Linked DNA regions of Arabidopsis thaliana. The protein of the gene in region 4 interacts with the protein of the main gene of each other region in a pairwise test. Each region holds a gene or a part of one and is shown on either strand. Other genes may lie near its edges. The genes, in order: AT3G46600, AT1G49830, TIP and LRL2.

Evidence for each region.
Region 1: the proteins of LRL2 (region 4) and AT3G46600 interact in a two-hybrid assay, tested with the Arabidopsis thaliana proteins (one large-scale study listed by BioGRID).
Region 2: the proteins of LRL2 (region 4) and AT1G49830 interact in a two-hybrid assay, tested with the Arabidopsis thaliana proteins (one large-scale study listed by BioGRID).
Region 3: the proteins of LRL2 (region 4) and TIP interact in a two-hybrid assay, tested with the Arabidopsis thaliana proteins (one large-scale study listed by BioGRID).

What each region holds. Positions count from the first base shown.
Region 1 is NC_003074.8:17,156,246-17,160,509, forward strand, and holds AT3G46600 (GRAS family transcription factor), read left to right. Parts: upstream 1-1,678; 5' UTR 1,679-1,802; coding exon 1,803-3,554; 3' UTR 3,555-3,720; downstream 3,721-4,264. Other genes in the region: AT3G46610 (Pentatricopeptide repeat (PPR-like) superfamily protein), read right to left, coding at 3,979-4,264. UniProt on the Arabidopsis thaliana protein: Probable transcription factor involved in plant development.
Region 2 is NC_003070.9:18,444,600-18,448,588, forward strand, and holds AT1G49830 (basic helix-loop-helix (bHLH) DNA-binding superfamily protein), read right to left. Parts: upstream 2,174-3,989; 5' UTR 2,061-2,173; coding exon 1,791-2,060; intron 1,601-1,790; coding exon 1,499-1,600; intron 1,401-1,498; coding exon 1,335-1,400; intron 1,036-1,334; coding exon 934-1,035; intron 752-933; exon of another isoform or gene 725-751; coding exon 512-724; downstream 1-511. Other genes in the region: MTK (S-methyl-5-thioribose kinase), read left to right, coding at 1-52, 140-308.
Region 3 is NC_003076.8:8,415,826-8,420,738, reverse strand, and holds TIP (TCV-interacting protein), read left to right. Parts: upstream 1-1,662; 5' UTR 1,663-2,015; coding exon 2,016-2,193; intron 2,194-2,385; coding exon 2,386-2,666; intron 2,667-2,758; coding exon 2,759-3,016; intron 3,017-3,101; coding exon 3,102-3,560; intron 3,561-3,639; coding exon 3,640-3,819; 3' UTR 3,820-4,364; downstream 4,365-4,913.
Region 4 is NC_003075.7:15,078,580-15,083,513, forward strand, and holds LRL2 (LJRHL1-like 2), read right to left. Parts: upstream 3,197-4,934; 5' UTR 3,172-3,196; coding exon 2,731-3,171; intron 2,614-2,730; coding exon 2,473-2,613; intron 2,356-2,472; coding exon 2,290-2,355; intron 1,946-2,289; coding exon 1,880-1,945; intron 1,610-1,879; coding exon 1,553-1,609; intron 1,216-1,552; coding exon 910-1,215; 3' UTR 539-909; downstream 1-538. UniProt on the Arabidopsis thaliana protein: Transcription factor that regulates the development of root hairs. Transcription factor that regulates the development of sperm cells.

The DNA.
Region 1 (4,264 bases), on a different chromosome or scaffold from region 4:
GAATTCAATTGTTGGATAAATTGTTACTCAAGCTGGTCTATGTTTGGTCAGTTTATGGTTCACATGTGTCCTATATTAGGAAAGAATACACAGAAGCTTGTGCTTGTGAGTGGTATGTGTGCTATGGTATTTACCTTAAATACGGGTCGTTCAGAGTAATAAGCTGGTCTCAAAGCCTCTTTTAAAGGCTATAGCCACAAACAAAGGCACAAAATCCTGGATCTCTAACCAGTAAAGAAGTCGATGTTGAACTAAAGTTCGCAAATATTTGCAGATAGCATTGAGTAGGCAAGCTCTTCCCACTTTTTTTTTTTTTTTTTTCACTGAACTGTTGCCTTTCATTGAATATTGGAGTTTGTGAAAAAATTTAAAGCAATTAGCAATAAAATCAAAAGGATATTGAAGTTTACATTTGGACCTGGACGAGATAATAGAGGATAACGTTCAATTTATTAGAAGTTATGATGACTGATATATTTACCGATTTAAAACTAATATATTTAGCAACTTGACGCAGCAAGAAAATTATGATTCTTAACTAATATACACCATATTATATATATTTAGAAGATTTAATTAATATTTAAAATTATGCTTTTTATTTGATTTTGTTTTAAATCGTCATATAATACATAAAATAAAATCAAAAAACAATTTTTTTTTATACATATATTGTGATTTTTAATTTTAAACACGGACACGTATTACCCAATTGACAAAATAATGTGTATGTTTAATGTTCCACATTGACTAAAATATTTAGACAATGATTCAGAATCATATCATATAATGAATATTTACAATAATAAAATAACTGGGTTTTTGTTGGAATGGGTTTTGCGGAACGGATTTTTGAATCTACATTAATAACAAATTAAAATATCATTAATCTGCCGTTTCAATACATATTAAATCTTTTTTTTAACACCACTAATATTATACATATCAAATCAGTCTGATTTAAAAAAATATATATAAAACCAAAATGTCTCATGGTATAATGTTACTATATAAAAATTGTAAATTATAAAATATTAATGTCTTAGAGAATTGTATAATTTTCAAACTTTTATATATAATAAATAATCATTAAATTTTAAAAATCACTACTTAAAAAAAAAAAAAAAATCAAGGGACAGGTTATACAATTAAGATTTACATCTTGTTTTTTTTTTGGAATTTTGGTGATGTGGTAACAGACTACTAAATAGTTTACGCGTATTATATGCAAAATAAATTATCAAACAAATATATTGTAGTAAATTATAAAATTTACTATATTATTATTTAAAAACTGAAATTTGCTTGTGTCTTGTAGAAAAAAAAACTGAACCAAAACAAACTTAATTTACTTCGAAGTTTTATATTTCGTTATACAAAAAGAAAAAGTCTAAATTTCTAAATACATTTAGAAAATATATTCAAGGTAATAACTAATAAGTCAAATATTTGACCAGACAAGTGACCAAAAGGAAGACAACAACAAGAAAACAAATAGCTTTTTAGCCATTTGGACCCACGACAGTAGATAAAGTCTTGGACATATTATTACTAACCTTTTGTGGCGGCTTAGTGTTTATCTTCAACCCCACACATTCTCTGTTTCCTCGAAACTTCATTTTTCTTCTTTGCCAAGACAAAGATTAAATAAGACAAATATCAACCCTATCCTTTGTTTATATCAACAACATCTCGCAACTTGTGTTCACATGAAACTTCTCACTACTCTCTTTCATTTCCTCTTTTCGTTGACTTACTAAAGTACTCTTGTTTCAATCTTCATTCTAGAGAGATTCTGTTTCATGGATGCTATTTTGCCAGTACCCGTTGATGGGTTCAGATTCGACACCGGTTCTGGATCTTGTTGCAAACCGAGGAACAATCTTGAATCTGGGACGACCAATCGTTTCACTTGTTTCAACGAATCTGAATCTCAGAGCAACCCTTCTCCGACCGAGTCTAAGGTATGTTCAGATTACCTTCCTGTCTTTAAGTACATCAATGACATGTTGATGGAAGAAGATCTTGAAGGTCAGTCTTGTATGTTGGAAGACAGTTTGGCTTTACAAGCCGCAGAGAGATCTTTCTTCGAAGTGCTTCAAGATCAAACTCCAATCTCGGGTGATCTAGAGGATGGTTCTCTTGGAAACTTCAGTTCTATAACGAGTTTGCATCAACCTGAAGTTTCAGAGGAGTCAACCAGAAGGTATCGACATAGGGATGATGATGAAGATGATGATCTTGAGAGTGGAAGGAAATCGAAGCTCCCTGCGATTTCTACGGTGGATGAGTTAGCAGAGAAGTTTGAGGAAGTGTTGTTGGTATGTCAAAAGAATGATCAGGGAGAAGCAACAGAGAAGAAAACAAGACACGTAAAAGGCTCATCGAATCGATACAAGCAGCAAAAGTCAGATCAGCCAGTAGATATGAGGAATCTTTTGATGCAATGCGCGCAAGCTGTGGCGAGTTTTGACCAGAGAAGAGCTTTTGAGAAACTGAAGGAGATAAGAGAACACTCTTCTCGCCACGGTGATGCGACTCAAAGACTTGGTTATCACTTTGCTGAGGCGCTTGAAGCTCGTATTACAGGAACCATGACTACACCAATATCTGCTACTTCTAGCAGAACATCAATGGTGGACATTTTGAAGGCGTACAAGGGATTTGTTCAGGCTTGCCCCACCTTAATAATGTGTTATTTCACTGCAAACAGAACAATCAATGAGCTTGCTTCCAAAGCAACCACACTTCACATCATTGATTTTGGGATTCTCTATGGATTTCAATGGCCTTGTCTGATACAAGCTTTGTCAAAACGTGACATCGGACCACCACTGCTCCGTGTGACTGGTATCGAGCTTCCTCAGTCAGGTTTCCGTCCATCAGAGCGGGTAGAAGAGACCGGGCGAAGACTAAAGAGGTTCTGTGACAAGTTCAATGTCCCGTTTGAGTACAGTTTCATAGCCAAGAATTGGGAGAACATAACTCTTGATGATCTGGTGATCAATAGTGGCGAGACAACAGTTGTCAACTGCATCCTCCGGCTACAATATACACCTGATGAAACCGTGTCCCTCAACTCACCGAGAGACACGGCTCTGAAACTATTCAGAGACATCAACCCTGACCTCTTTGTGTTTGCAGAGATTAACGGGACTTACAATTCACCCTTCTTCCTAACAAGGTTCAGAGAAGCTCTCTTCCATTGCTCGTCACTCTTTGACATGTATGAGACCACATTATCAGAAGACGACAATTGCAGGACACTGGTGGAGAGGGAACTAATCATAAGAGATGCAATGAGTGTGATAGCCTGTGAAGGGTCTGAGCGGTTTGCAAGGCCAGAGACCTACAAGCAATGGCAGGTTAGGATTCTAAGAGCAGGATTTAGACCAGCGAAACTAAGCAAACAGATAGTAAAGGACGGGAAAGAGATAGTGAAAGAACGTTACCACAAAGATTTTGTGATCGACAATGATAACCACTGGATGTTTCAGGGCTGGAAAGGAAGAGTCCTTTATGCTGTTTCTTGCTGGAAACCTGCTAAGAAGTAATAAAACAGTTCTGTAATCATTTGCATAATTTTGCTAGCTTTCCATTTCTTTGTTTTTGGTTTCAAAGTGTTGTAGAAACTGTTTGCTCTCATATATATTGAATGAGTCTCTCTCTTTCTCTCTACTTTCTTGCAAGTACATATGGCAAACCAAGAATTCAAAACTTATTTCAAAAAGATCCATAACTTTGAACTGAACAAACCAGTTTGCATATCAATGTGTCTGATGATAATACAGATGTTGTACGAAGATAAAAATTCACAATATAAACAGAGAGACTAGACAAACTAAAAAGAGTATTAAAGAACAAGAAAGTGATTACTTGGAAACTTTCTTCTTCCCTGTAATGGCAATTTTCTTGCCTTTAAGGGTCCTTGGATGCGCCTTACCCCACGGTAACCTTGTACAATGTGTTTTCGTCAGACTAAGGTCTATTCTTTTTGTCTGGTCGAGGACCCAAAAGATTAAGATCAATGGTGGCTCCATAAGTCTCAGCTGATTTAACAACCGCATCATATGGCTTAGAAGAGAGTTTAAGCCCTTCGTTTTGAGCCTTCACATGTAACTCATAAGCAAGCCTTGGCTTTGCATCATTTGCAAGAGCCTCAATCAACATCTCGTAAGTTATCTCGTTAGGCTCAACATTCTCACTTTTCATTCTATGAAACCACTCATAAGCCACACCACTTAACCCGTTCCTCGCGCAACCA
Region 2 (3,989 bases), on a different chromosome or scaffold from region 4:
TGAGGAATTTGTTGCATGACTCACTCGGATTCGGCGCTGCAAAGATGATTAGGTGAGAGAATCTTAGTCCATGAGATTTCTTTGTCGATCATATAAACTCAGAAACGTTGTTGACAGTGTTGGTTTGATGATATGGCAGGAGAATTGTGGGAGTGGCACATGTTGAGGACTTTGAATCAATCGAAGAAGATAAGCGAAGAGCTATTTGCGAGAGAAGTGCACTCGAGTTTGCGAAGATGCTTCTCAAGGAAAGGAGAAAGTTTAAGAGTATCGGTGAAGTTGTTTCAGCAATTCAACAACAAAGCTAAGACAATTTATAATGTTCTTCTGCTGAAGTTCTTGAAAGTCTTGTTTTGATCTTGGGAGTTAATTGGCAAGAAAAGTATCACAATGCTGCTTATCACATGGATTTGTAATTTAGTGGTTTGTGGTGGTGATGATGGTATTCAAATGCATTTTGTTACAATAATAATAATAAAAGTTTAGAAATATTTTCACTTTTGAAGATTATCTACTTATCTTTATGAGATTTGACTTCCACAATCTCTACTGGTTCACTGTTGGTGTGACTGGTGAGTGGTGACAAGATGGCAGAGGACCATAAATCAGCACCGTTAGTATTCGCCACGTGTACGGTCCAAGCTAGTGGAACAAGACATAAACCATTGCTTCTCAACTCTTTCACTTTCATCGTCGGGTTTACTTCTCCGGTGTCTTCGTCGTCCTGACGACACATCAACTATTCATCAGTCACAACACCGTCAAAATAGTAATCTTTTAAGTCTTAAAACAGTCGTTTCGAATCATGGAAAAATAAATATCTTCCGGTTTTATTGATAAAGACATAGAGTGTAACAAAAAAAGAGGATACCAAGAAAAAAGTGTAACAAAAAAATGAAATAAGATAATACAAAAGGATGATGGATGACTTACAAGAGGGTTATGTTTGAAGTAAGGGGTTGAAAGAACTTGAACTTGGTCTTGTAAGAATTTTATGTAACCCATTGTTTCATGCAACACTGATGCTGCATCTGTCTATTCAAATTTTCCAAATTACATTTTTCTTAGTTAAAATGTAGAAAGTAAACTAATTTTAATTACCAAAACACATAATGTACCTCCAAAACAGTAAAATATAGTCCGTGAATATCTCTCTACAAGTAAAGGTTTCAAGCTAATACCAAATGACGTAACTATAGTAAAAGTTTCAAGTTTACATCAAAATTTAATCACCTAGATTCAGGGTTTTGATTTTAGTTCAGTATTATGTTGATAAGAGATATATGAACCAAAAACAAAGAGAGAAGGTAACTTGTTTTAGTATATTGATCCACCTTGCCATATGGAGAAACCAAGTGCTGCAATGTTGTGATTTTTTCACCAACCTTTTCTTTCTTGACCTATTTTTATGAATAGCATTTGTTAATTACTATTATTCACCCAAATAGCTGATCCATTAGATAAGTATACATAAATATACACACTTTTAAAGCCAAACCTTAGCATTTCCAAGCGATGACTTCTTCTGATCTCGCTTGCATCTCTTACCGGGTTTTGGATCGCAAACCCGGTCGTGCCCATCAGCCGACCCGGTTTTCTTCTTCAAAACAAAGAGACAAACATTAAACAAAATAAAAATTATACATTATAATGATCTTGTGTTTGACTTGTTGCATGCACTGATGCATATACTTTTTAATGATCTTGTCACTTTACTTAATGACCTTAAAGCTTGGCTAAAATTTCAAATAATATTAACTGTAGGAATGTTTTACATATATATAACTTACATTGGATCTAAAAGATTGATCATTGACCACACAGGCGTTATTGCGTGAAGAGAGAGGGGAAGCGGGAGAGAAAGAGGGTTGTGAGAAGAGCAGATCGGTGTCGTTTTGGTTTCCTCCGCCGAAACAGAGCATTTGAGGAGCATCGTTTCCGGTGAATCTGAAACCAAAGCTGTCTTCTTCTACTTCACCGGAGCTAAGGACATCATCAGACATCATAAGAACATCAGAGAAGTTCATGACACCGTCTTCTTCGTCCGTTGTGCCTCTCATCGTAGAGTTTTTTTTTCTTTTTCTTGCTTAGGCTTGTTTGTGGAATTGACAGAGAAAGAAGAAAACAAGTGAAAAGGTGAGAAACCAGAAAAGAATAGTATCAATAAATGTATTTTAATAGTAAAAAAAGAAGATGAAAAATTGCATAATTTCAGTTATAGCAAGTAGCAACAATAGTTAACTATGATATTACATCAATGGGATAAGTTGGTAAAGGAGAAATCAGAAAAATGGTAAGGCAACTTGGCCCAAGAAAACTGTTGGTTTCTATTTACTCGAAATGATGAATTTTGTAAAACAAACTAATCAAACACAAAATGTTTACGGATAAAGATATTAAAATCCCAATAGAAAAGCTCGAGAAACTCACATTGATGTAAAACTCTCACATTTTGAATTAAAAAACATACTATTTTTTTCATTTAAAATAATAATAAAAAAGTGTGAAAACTGAAAAATTATTTTTACAAAAATAAAAAAGACAAAGATGTTTGACATGCGCGAAGAAGAGTGAGGTACGTACAGCTGCAAGACCACGCTAAATTTAGGAGGGTTGACAGAGTTGAGTAGTCCACAAGTTTAGTTTCATTTTTGGACACTTAAAAGGCTTAGGATACAAGTCGTCACTGTGTCTGTTTCATTGCTATGGTAAATTAACCAAAATAAGTAAATAACCATCCATAACTTTGACTGCTTCAGGCTGAACCAAATCAGTGTGTATGGCCTGTTTTCGTATCAATCTTTACATTAAGAGCAAGTCCATTGGGAGATCCTTAACAGTTTTTAACATAAATCCTTAAGTAATTTTGGAAAAAAATAAATCTAAAATGTGATTTAAACTTGGGATCGCACCTAATTTTAGAGTTTTTTCAGTTGTTAAGGTGCGCATACGTGGCAACTAATCATTGGTTGTGTTTTTTTGACAAAACTTTTTTTTTTCTTTTGCCGTGTTTTGTTTTTCAAATCGATTTTCCTCTCTTCTCTTCTCTTGTTAACTCCGGTGGCGATTGAGCGATTGGTGATCATCATCATCACGCGTTTATATCATCAAATTGGAAGAGATTATCGACGGAATTTGTCTCTTATCCATCGTGCTCATCATCTCAACCGACGGTGCTCAACGTCGACTAGTTTGGTGAACTTAATCGGAGAGGACTGTGAACCAAATCGGAGATGGGGTTTGTCACTTTTCGGGGTCTCTTATCTCAGTTGAAGTTGCTTTGTACCAGTGTTGTATCAAAAATTCAGAATCATTATCTTCTTTGCATCTTTTTGGAGTTATCAAGGAATCAAACCCATTTTATCATTGCAGGTAACGTGGATATATGAAGCAGATGTTTTTGGTGAATGATAAGTGCTTAACCATGATTGAACCACAGAAGAAATGGTCAAAAAGAATAGAAGAATTGATAAGTGCGTTACTTAGATTTAGGAGATCAAGCTCCACGTTTCCATATTCCCACTTTGTTAATAATGTTCTTTGTTTTTAGGATTAGTTGTCGATCCCCTTTGCTTTACTTTGTGTACTTAAAGACTGCCAAGTTATGAGAAGGAATTAGACTTGATTTGCCAAAAGAAACTTGTGTTTGTGTTGTGTGTTTACACATTCTCTTAGCTTTGAAGAGGGACCACCTAACAGGGAATCAGAGTTTTGTAAATAGAACCGTCACGGTAACGTCGAAATATTTTTTGAGTCAGAGACATTGATGAGTACATGAATCCTAATAGCTTTGTGTATAGGAATTGTCCCTCCGTAAGATGCCTTGCTCATAATTTCCTTAACCTGGTAAGTTCTTCACATTGCTTATTTCAATTGATGCTTTCTTATGGTTAGAGATCTCAAAAATTTTCATGCTTAATATTTCGAGTTCTAGTCACAATTATTTACTTTGATCCTTGTATACGATTACATCAGTCGTGTCTTTAAGT
Region 3 (4,913 bases), on a different chromosome or scaffold from region 4:
AACGGAAAATAAAATATTTCCAGAAACTGAACTTTGAGATAGAAAGTAAACGTCTTTAGTAACTAAGTGATTGGTTGGCATGTCACCGTAAATTATTCGCTGTAAAATTTTGACCGTCAGCGTGTAAAATGCAACCGTGTATTTTATTGTTATACGTGTAGATATTAGGGATATAAAGTCTTAGAAGTAAATTTATTAGTCGTATCTTAAAATATGATTAGTAAATATTTTATAAAATATTATAGTTAACCAAACTATATAATAAACAACAACACAAATTTTGTGATGCACATATAGGTTAAATGGAATCTATATAAACATGTAAAATAGTTTATATGTTAGTCGGATAATAACTACATATTAGTTGAAAAGAATATATACATATAAATTTTTTGTTCAAATGTTGTTCAAAATTTATACATAAGTATACATTAACAAACAAAACTATACATGGTATTTATACTATTAGTATATATCCATCTAGTGCCTAGTGTACATTATATAAGCAACACATAAAAAATGATCATGAGGAAATAAAATTAAAATAAAAGAGAGATTAAATTAAAAATATAACTTATAGAACTTATAACAACATATGGTTTTAGGTTGTAGAAATATAAGATTTACGGTCACAAGATTTTTTTTTTTTCTAAAACTAATTCACAACAATTTGGTCTTCACAAAAACAATTATGGTTGTAAAAGATTACATTCCAACTAATCAAACACTATAAGAGACTATCCTCAAACTAGAAACGCAGAGGTCTAAACCCAAAAACAAAACAAAAAGCAATGACTTAGATAAACTTTGTTGGATATGGGCTTCGCCCCATTTAACATTCGGAGGCCCAAACAAAGAGTCATTGAAAACCTCAGTTAAGAATGATGAAGACCAGCCCCCCTGAGAAAGCCGCAGCCCATTGCGAGATGAGGCCCATTTTCTGGAAAGGATCAGCCGCCATAGAAGTTTCATATCGCTCAGAAAATGGTACTGTGTACTTTCATTGAAGTACTATAAATATTGACAGAGGAATGCCAGAAAAGGACACCTGAAGTCGGACGAGAATAGTACAAGAACATTCTCATTCGGATTCAAAGACATAAGCTCGACAATTGACTTGTGTAGTTTTATTCTTGTTGTATCTCTTAAAACGAGGCTTGGCTGTAAACATATCTTGTAAACGGCCGAACGTTAAGTTTAGATAAATAAGATCTTCCTTTTCGCTCGCTACTTTCTTCTCTGTTTTTGAGGTTTAGTTTTGAGTACCAACGGACTTCGATATCAAACGTTTTAAAGTTTAAACCTATTTGATTTACATTATTTGGTTTAAATAAATTGATTCAGACTTCACACGACCAAGAAAAAAAAATGGTTGAATTGGGTTCTCATCTATTGGGCTTTAACAACAAACACTATTAGTAAGATGGGCTGGCCAGTTGTGTAAACTGTTTCATATTGGTAAATCAATATGATACCAATTAAGTTTATTTAATTCTTCTTTAACTTCCGTACAACTATCACGAAGCTTCCTTTATAGCATCAACGTGTCAATATATGATTCGCTAGGTGACATCTCTCGTTCAGACATCCTCACCTTTTGACTCATATAACCCCTATTTCCGTAACTATTTTACTGCAATACTTCAGGGGTAAAATAGGTATTTACATTCTGTTTTGCCTTTTACGCGTAACGAACGTGGTTTTGTGTTTTATGACTTTCTGGGAAACAGTGGTACGCCTATCCACGCGCCACTTTTTCATCTCTTTGTCTTTGATATCTCTCTTGTCTGACCAAATCGTGTCACATCTCCTTCTTCTCCACTTTACCAAATCGTGTCAAATTTTAGGGTTTTTTCTTTTCGTACTTCATCAAATTCTGGAATCTGGTTTTTTCTTAGTTTTCTTCTATATACCTTTGAATCGCATCTTTGATCCAAATTCATTTTAGATATCACCTTGAAGTCGAATTTGTGATTTTTTCTTTTCCTCTCGAATTCTCAAAGTCTCACGCAACTATGAAAGAAGACATGGAAGTACTATCGCTCGCTTCACTACCGGTTGGGTTCAGATTTAGTCCAACGGACGAAGAGTTAGTCCGGTACTATCTCCGGCTCAAGATCAACGGTCACGATAACGACGTTAGAGTAATTCGTGAGATCGATATCTGCAAATGGGAGCCTTGGGATTTGCCTGGTAATTCCTTTCTTCATCAAATCAATTCGTTGATTCATCTTTAGCTCTTTAGTCTCGGTTTAGCAATTCCCAGGCTTCAATTCCGGTTTATGCATGTTTGAATTTGGAACAATATGATCAATAACTTCTTAGCTTAGGTAGTGGACTTAGTGAATTTGAGTAAAGATTTATACTTTAGTATTTGTGGTGTAGATTTTTCTGTGGTGAAGACAACAGACTCAGAGTGGCTCTTCTTTTGTCCTTTGGACCGGAAATATCCGAGTGGAAGTCGAATGAATAGAGCTACTGTGGCTGGATACTGGAAGGCGACGGGAAAAGACCGTAAGATCAAATCAGGAAAGACTAAGATTATAGGTGTTAAGAGGACTCTAGTGTTTTATACAGGTCGTGCTCCTAAAGGGACACGAACTTGTTGGATTATGCATGAGTATCGTGCTACTGAGAAGGATCTTGATGGAACAAAGTCTGGCCAGGTAAAAACCAACTTGGCAAATGATGGCATTAACTTGTGTGTGTAGGTCTTTTGTGTTTCTGATTGTGTTTGTTTGATTGTTTTTGGTTGCAGAATCCGTTTGTTGTTTGTAAGTTGTTTAAGAAGCAAGATATTGTGAACGGAGCTGCTGAACCAGAAGAGTCAAAGTCATGTGAAGTTGAACCAGCGGTATCGTCTCCAACTGTTGTGGACGAGGTTGAAATGTCTGAGGTATCTCCTGTTTTCCCTAAAACAGAAGAGACTAATCCTTGTGACGTCGCAGAGTCTTCTCTTGTAATCCCCAGCGAATGTCGTAGTGGATACTCTGTCCCTGAGGTTACAACCACCGGGGTAAGGATGAACAAAATACATTCTTTTCATTACAGGAGGCGGTACAACCGCTTTGTAAACTTACAAACTTCATTTTACTCAACAGCTTGACGATATCGATTGGCTCTCGTTTATGGAGTTTGATTCCCCGAAGCTGTTCTCTCCGTTGCACTCTCAGGTGCAATCTGAGCTCGGTTCCTCTTTCAATGGCTTACAATCTGAGTCTAGTGAATTGTTCAAAAACCACAATGAGGATTACATTCAGACTCAGTACGGTACAAATGATGCGGATGAATATATGTCCAAGTTCTTGGATTCTTTTCTTGACATTCCCTATGAGCCAGAACAGATCCCATATGAGCCACAGAATCTTAGCTCATGCAACAAGATCAATGATGAATCTAAGAGAGGAATTAAGATTAGAGCTCGACGAGCACAAGCCCCGGGTTGTGCTGAGCAGTTTGTAATGCAGGGCGATGCCTCAAGAAGGCTGCGTCTTCAGGTTAACCTTAACAGCCACAAGTCAGAAACTGACAGTACACAACTTCAATTTATCAAGAAAGAGGTGAGAAGAAGTTTGTTTTCATACCTTCTCATGTATTACAATTTATGATCCTTATATTTATGCGATAAAATGTATATAGGTTAAGGACACAACAACGGAAACTATGACGAAAGGATGTGGAAATTTCACAAGATCAAAGAGCAGGACTAGTTTCATATTCAAGAAAATTGCAGCCATGGGATGTTCATACAGAGGGCTTTTCAGAGTCGGTGTGGTAGCGGTTGTGTGTGTGATGTCGGTCTGCAGTCTAGTCGCATAAATCCGCTGAATGTGATGTTTGTTCCGATCAATTCATATAGTAAGAATAAAGAAAGTGGTTTTTACGGGTGGAGAGAGCGCGGATTTGTGTGTATAACAGGGGTTTTGGCCTGGTTCTGCATCTGTTGTTATTGTTGTTGTTTTTGTCGGCTTAAGCTTAACCATGGTCGGTTTAGGAGTGTAGTAGACTTGTAGTTAACATGTACGACGACTCATAATATTCAGATGGTAATGTTTGGAAATTTTTTTATTCCTGACCACATGTGTCTTGAGATTGCGTTTTTGACATTTTTAGTAGCCTTGTACAATCAGAAACAAACTACGAGTTCGAATGGTAGCACCGTAATGAAAACGGTGTCAAACATGTTAGTACGAACCGACCGGGTAGAGATATTTATTAGAGGTGTGTTTATTTCGTATATCATTAAACATGTTTAGTATGATAGGACGGTTTGATTGAGGGTATGGACTGTTAAACATGTCATTTGGGTATTTTATGGCATTAAGTATGCCCAGTAATATATTACAAAATTTTTGGACAAAAGAATGCATATTTGAATAGTTCAAATAATATGATCACCTCTCTTTTCTCTCCTTCATATCTTTTAGAGAGAGGAACTGTTGAATTCTGCCGACCGGATTATTCTGGTAAACTGCCGTCCCAAGTTTTGGGCTTTTGCCCGACATCTTTTTGGCTTTGTTAGCAAAGATGGCCGGTCCTCTTCTGGCAAATCCGGCTTCTACAAGAATAATTGTATCCTTACTACTTAATTGTATGGACCAAGAATAAAATTTCAAAATTTAGTTGTTTTCTTGATATCTGTAAAAAAAATTAAACAACACTTACAATAAGACATAGGAAGCAGTTTGTATCAATATTACTGTCGTGTTGCTTTGGAATAAAACCCAAAATACGTAAGTACCAAAACAATTATTAGACTTTTTAAATGTGTTAGCTGATATAAGTAGTATATATCAATGTTGTATCATACTTTGAATAAAACTCAAAATTATGTGTGAGTAAGAAAAGAAAATACAATTCTTTCCAATATATAAAAACATCGTAAATGCATAAAATATGTGCATTCGAATCTT
Region 4 (4,934 bases):
GCTTTTGGCCCAAAATAAATTCATTTTTTGTACTTGAAGTCAAAACTCAAACCTCATGCCAAAGCAATAAAAAGAAGAGACTCTACAACGAAATGATATATTATATTTTCCTCTGTTTCAATTCAGACTATTTTTTTTCGATCGTGGTAGAAAACATTCTGACGGTTTGAACATGTAAACGTTTGAGGTCGTTGGTATATATGGAAATGGTTTATATCTTATATGTTTTCTCGGTCCTTGCTGTTTATTTTTGTGCTTATAAGATAAATTAAGATCATGTTATTTCGTTTATAGTAGTAGGTCATAGTAGAGGTATACCATACAAATTCACTCTACAAAACTCTTAACCACCTAAAATGATCCTGACTAGGTGTTCTAAACGTTAGATGCTACTCTAAGCCCCTGCTGCATATATAGTGATTTTCTTGAACACTACTAGGAAGATTTATATGAGATCTTACCGCTGACCACATTGGCGATTGACAATAAATTTCTTCAGTATGTGAGTATATAAAACGGTGAAATTAAGCCTGCTTAAGTGTTACATTCCTGTGTTGTGTAGATTTAGAAACTTAAGCATAACGAGTTTTAAACAAACTCTTTGGCCTAAATGATCATCATTGACGACATTTGTTAGACCAGACCGGTTCTGTGATAGAAAATTTAAGGATATAACTTTATAAACCAAAAAAAAAAAAACATGATAACATGAGTGTGCTTATGGGTGGTTTGTAGTAGGTAAAGACAGAAAACCAAAGTGTACGCAAATACGGTGTCGTATCCGAAAACACGACCTTATTCTTTCTAAACTTTGACCAAAACCACCTATCCCACTTGTCTTTGTCTTCTAAACTTTTTTCTCTCTTTCCCACCCAAAAAAGGGAAAATGAAATGGACAAATGGCCGTTATCACGGCTTGGAAACGGAGGGAGCGTCTTTAACGGTGACCAACGATGAGCCATTACCGTTAGCAACTATTGTAGTGGATAGGTTAGGAGACAAAGGAACGCCGGTATCTTTAACGAAGGGGCTACGAGAAGGACACGTGGCGGTGGAGATGGTGGTGGCTAACGAGATGGGCATGAGGCAAAGACCTTTGCCTTGTAGATATTGCATGGCTGATCCCATGTCCTCTTCCATTAGCTTTGCAACTTGGTGCTCCGTCATCTTCGCCTCGCCGGAGGAGGAGGTGTTTTCGTGGGATCCACCGGCATCCTGAAAATGTTCAATAAAATTAAAAAGAAAACAAGAAAAGCAAAACCCTAAAGCTATGATGATGTTGAAATGGGAGGTTTTGGTATTTGTTGGAGAGAAAGTAGGCACGCGTGCCCTGTCCTTGTTTTGTTTTTTTTACTATTTTTTGGAAAACTTTTTCATTTGTTTTTAGAAAGTCGAAAACAAAACTACTTTTTAATTAGTATTATTCCCTAACTAAAACCTTTTCAATAATTTACATCTCTTTTTAATTAGTTTAAAAAATAAAATCTCATTCTATATAGTGATCACGTCATCCTATCATCCCTTTTAAGAGAGAAGGAATTGAAATTATTACCTCAGAGATTTGAGAAGAAGCAGAAGCAGCACCGCCCAGTCTACTCATGCTTAGTACCTGCATACATAAATTTGCCAAATATTATAATTAAGCAAAAGAAGAGGTAGATATACACTAACACTATGTTTTAACAAACGCAAAAGATAAATAATTTACAAGATAAAAGGGAAAGGGAGCATATGGAATTTTAGTTGCAGAGGCCCATATTCGATTTCTTATTCTAATGTCAACTCAAAGGTAAAGAAGCTTCCACTCTTATAACAAAAACAAATTTAAAATTCTCATATCTTATAAAATAATTCGAGAGAGAGAGAGAGAGAGATTCACCTTGACTTGGAGCTGTAAGAACTTGACATAATCGATAATCTCATCGAGCATTGATGCTTTGTCTGTCTGTTAATTATTATTTTTAACAATAAAAAAAACCTTGTTAGCAATTCTGCATCTGTTTATTAAGTATTATTATCAATTAAATTTTAGAATTAATTAGCTAATCAGTGTTTAATCATTTGACTGCATAAAAGTCCAAATCTCTAGATAACCTACTAAACTAGTAGCAATTTGTGGTCCAAGACTAAAATACATCAGTGTAACTCATATACTTAACACATTATTCATTTTGAGATATATACTATTAAAGAAATGTAAAATACAAATTGGATTATTTGAATCTACTCTTTTAATTATATCAACTTTGATGATCGAAATTTAGACTAATGAAGATAATTAAAATTTACCTTGTTACCATTAGGGACAAGTTCTTGAAGAGATTTCATTCTTTCCGCTATCCTCTCTCTCCGTAACTGTTCCATAATTTCAAAATATTTCAATAATCACCTTAATCATCTAAATAACTTTATACGTTTTTCTCGGTAACTGAAAAGCGAATAATGAGGAAAAGTTAAATAAAAAAATCGAACCCGTTCGGCGATACTGTGAGGATCAGTGGCTTGACCTCTCCTAGCTCGGACTTTAGGCTTTGTCTGAGGTTGCGCCGTTGCACCACCGGTGGTGGCTGACGCCGTCGCCTGCGACTGCGTTTGCGTTTGACCTCCCGATCCCTAAAATATATATCAGAAAACATTAAATTAAGACTTAACAAAAGAACATGTAATGAATGTTTTCTCTTTTGTAGTAATTTGCAAAATGAGAGAGAAAAAGTGGATTATCAGTTATACTTGAGGGAGGTGGAAAGGGAGAGATCCGGTGGAGAAGCCATTGAAGAGAGCGTCATTAGGATGGTTATGTGACAAAGGAATCATAGTGATCTGGTTTCTTGAATCGGCGTCGTGGTGGTGGAATCCAGTGACGGGGGCACAATCGGAAGTTGGTGGAGGAGTGTCGTCGAGAACGGATGAGGGCCAAGGAGTGGAGGAGAAGATGTGGTGGAGGAAATCATCGTGGTCGAATGTTGCAGGAGATTGAAGATGTGGAGAAGGAGATGATGAAGGAGTTAGAAGAGACGAGGAGTTCATGGCTTCTGTTTTTTTTTTTTTTGGTGGGGAGTGAGAATGAAAATGAATGTTGTTGAAATGTCTTTTGAGGTTTAAGGCTTTATGGTGTTTAAAAGAGGGATGGAGATTGTAATATTTGAGATTTGAAGGGTTTGACTTTGACATGTTAAATACGTTTACCAAATTTACCATTTTTTTTATCATCCTTGCAAATTAATTATTTCGTGTTATTTTCATAATTTCTTGATTTTTTTAATCACTAAAAGAATTCGATCACTGAAGTCATGATTTCTTCAATTTTATAATCCTTTGTTGATAATATACTTTTCACAATTTTGTAGTAACTACAAAAAGTAAGTGAAACATATATTTCTAAAAATATCATAGTCGATCGAATGACAGGCTTAAAGTAATAAAACTAACTTAAAATTCGGTTGTACTAAAAAAAAAAAAAAAAAAAAAAAATTCGGTTGTACTAACTTCACTCAAATGATTTACGTATGTTTAATTATCTTTTTTTTTTTATTTAAGACAGAATGTGGTTCTAATACCGTATATTATTAAATTTCTATATATATAACATAGGTTTTTCTATTAATCATTTTTGAAAACTCATGTTTAAGATAATTGTATAAGATTTTCATTCGGTAACATTAAAATTGGTTTATTTGAATGCTGAATAAAATTCTTTGGATTTATGTTAAGGATGCCAACTACAAAAATAAAATAAAATACAAATCTCTATTGTTGATCTTTTTTATTAAAATCAGTCGGAGTTTTAAACTTGTCCCGGCAACTACGTACCACGAGATAAATATTTGCTAGTCCAAAAATGCAATAGTCTACAAGATAACACCAGAGCCAACACTTTTTCTTGTGACAACTATTTTAGACATATAATATTTAGACATGCAGTATAAATGCATACAATTATACTCTATTCATTTGGGTACATTCATTCATTCATCAACGGTTCATGATAATGTTCTCTTCATATATTACTGTTTACAATTTGTCCCCAAGATTACAAACATGCTATCCCTTTAGACGATACTCGTGTTCGATAAGAATAAGATCACTTTTTATAGATTATTCTTGTTTTGTTTTCTGATTAATATGATACCGATCGATGAAATTGTTGTTTTAACCGATCTGATTAACATTTGGGAAAGAGGATCCTCTCAAACGAGAACATAACATAACAGAACATCGTCATCATCATCATGTCATGTTACCATGTATTTTTTATACTTGTTAAATATTTTTTGGTCTAATAAATTCATCATTTACCTTAAAAATTCTTTTTTACCATCGTATACAGTTTTTCAGCTGTTTGATAGTATTTGATTAAGATTAATATTAAATTGACAAAGATAAGTAAAGAACATTATTATGCAATATGCATGATTAAGCACATGGGACATTCTGAGTTTTGCACAAACTCACAAGAGGTAGAGATCGGCTTTAATACACTTCCCATTTATTAATTACAAATGTTGGTAAGCATTGATGTACTACACAACAGAAAGAGAGATCTATCATCTCATGTATTAGTATTATCAAGAGAATGCAATAATTATTTTTGTTTTTACTTAATAATCATAATGTATACCAAAATAATTAACTAAGGGGGTGTAAAATAAGTTACGAATGATAATTTAAATTCCATATAGAAAAAATAAACAGATAGTAAAGACAAAAATGCTACTATGTTAAATAAACTATTGGTCCCATCTAGTATACTGATACATTAGTTTTATTTCATATTATCAGTAGTTTTTTCTATTGTTTATATAAAACAATACGTTTACAATAGGAAGGCAGGAAAATAAACCATATGGTGCACAACCATTGTAGACTCAATCCTGACAAAACCCAATAAATTTGAGGAACTCCCTCAAAAATTACGGCTTTGTTCAAATTGAAAA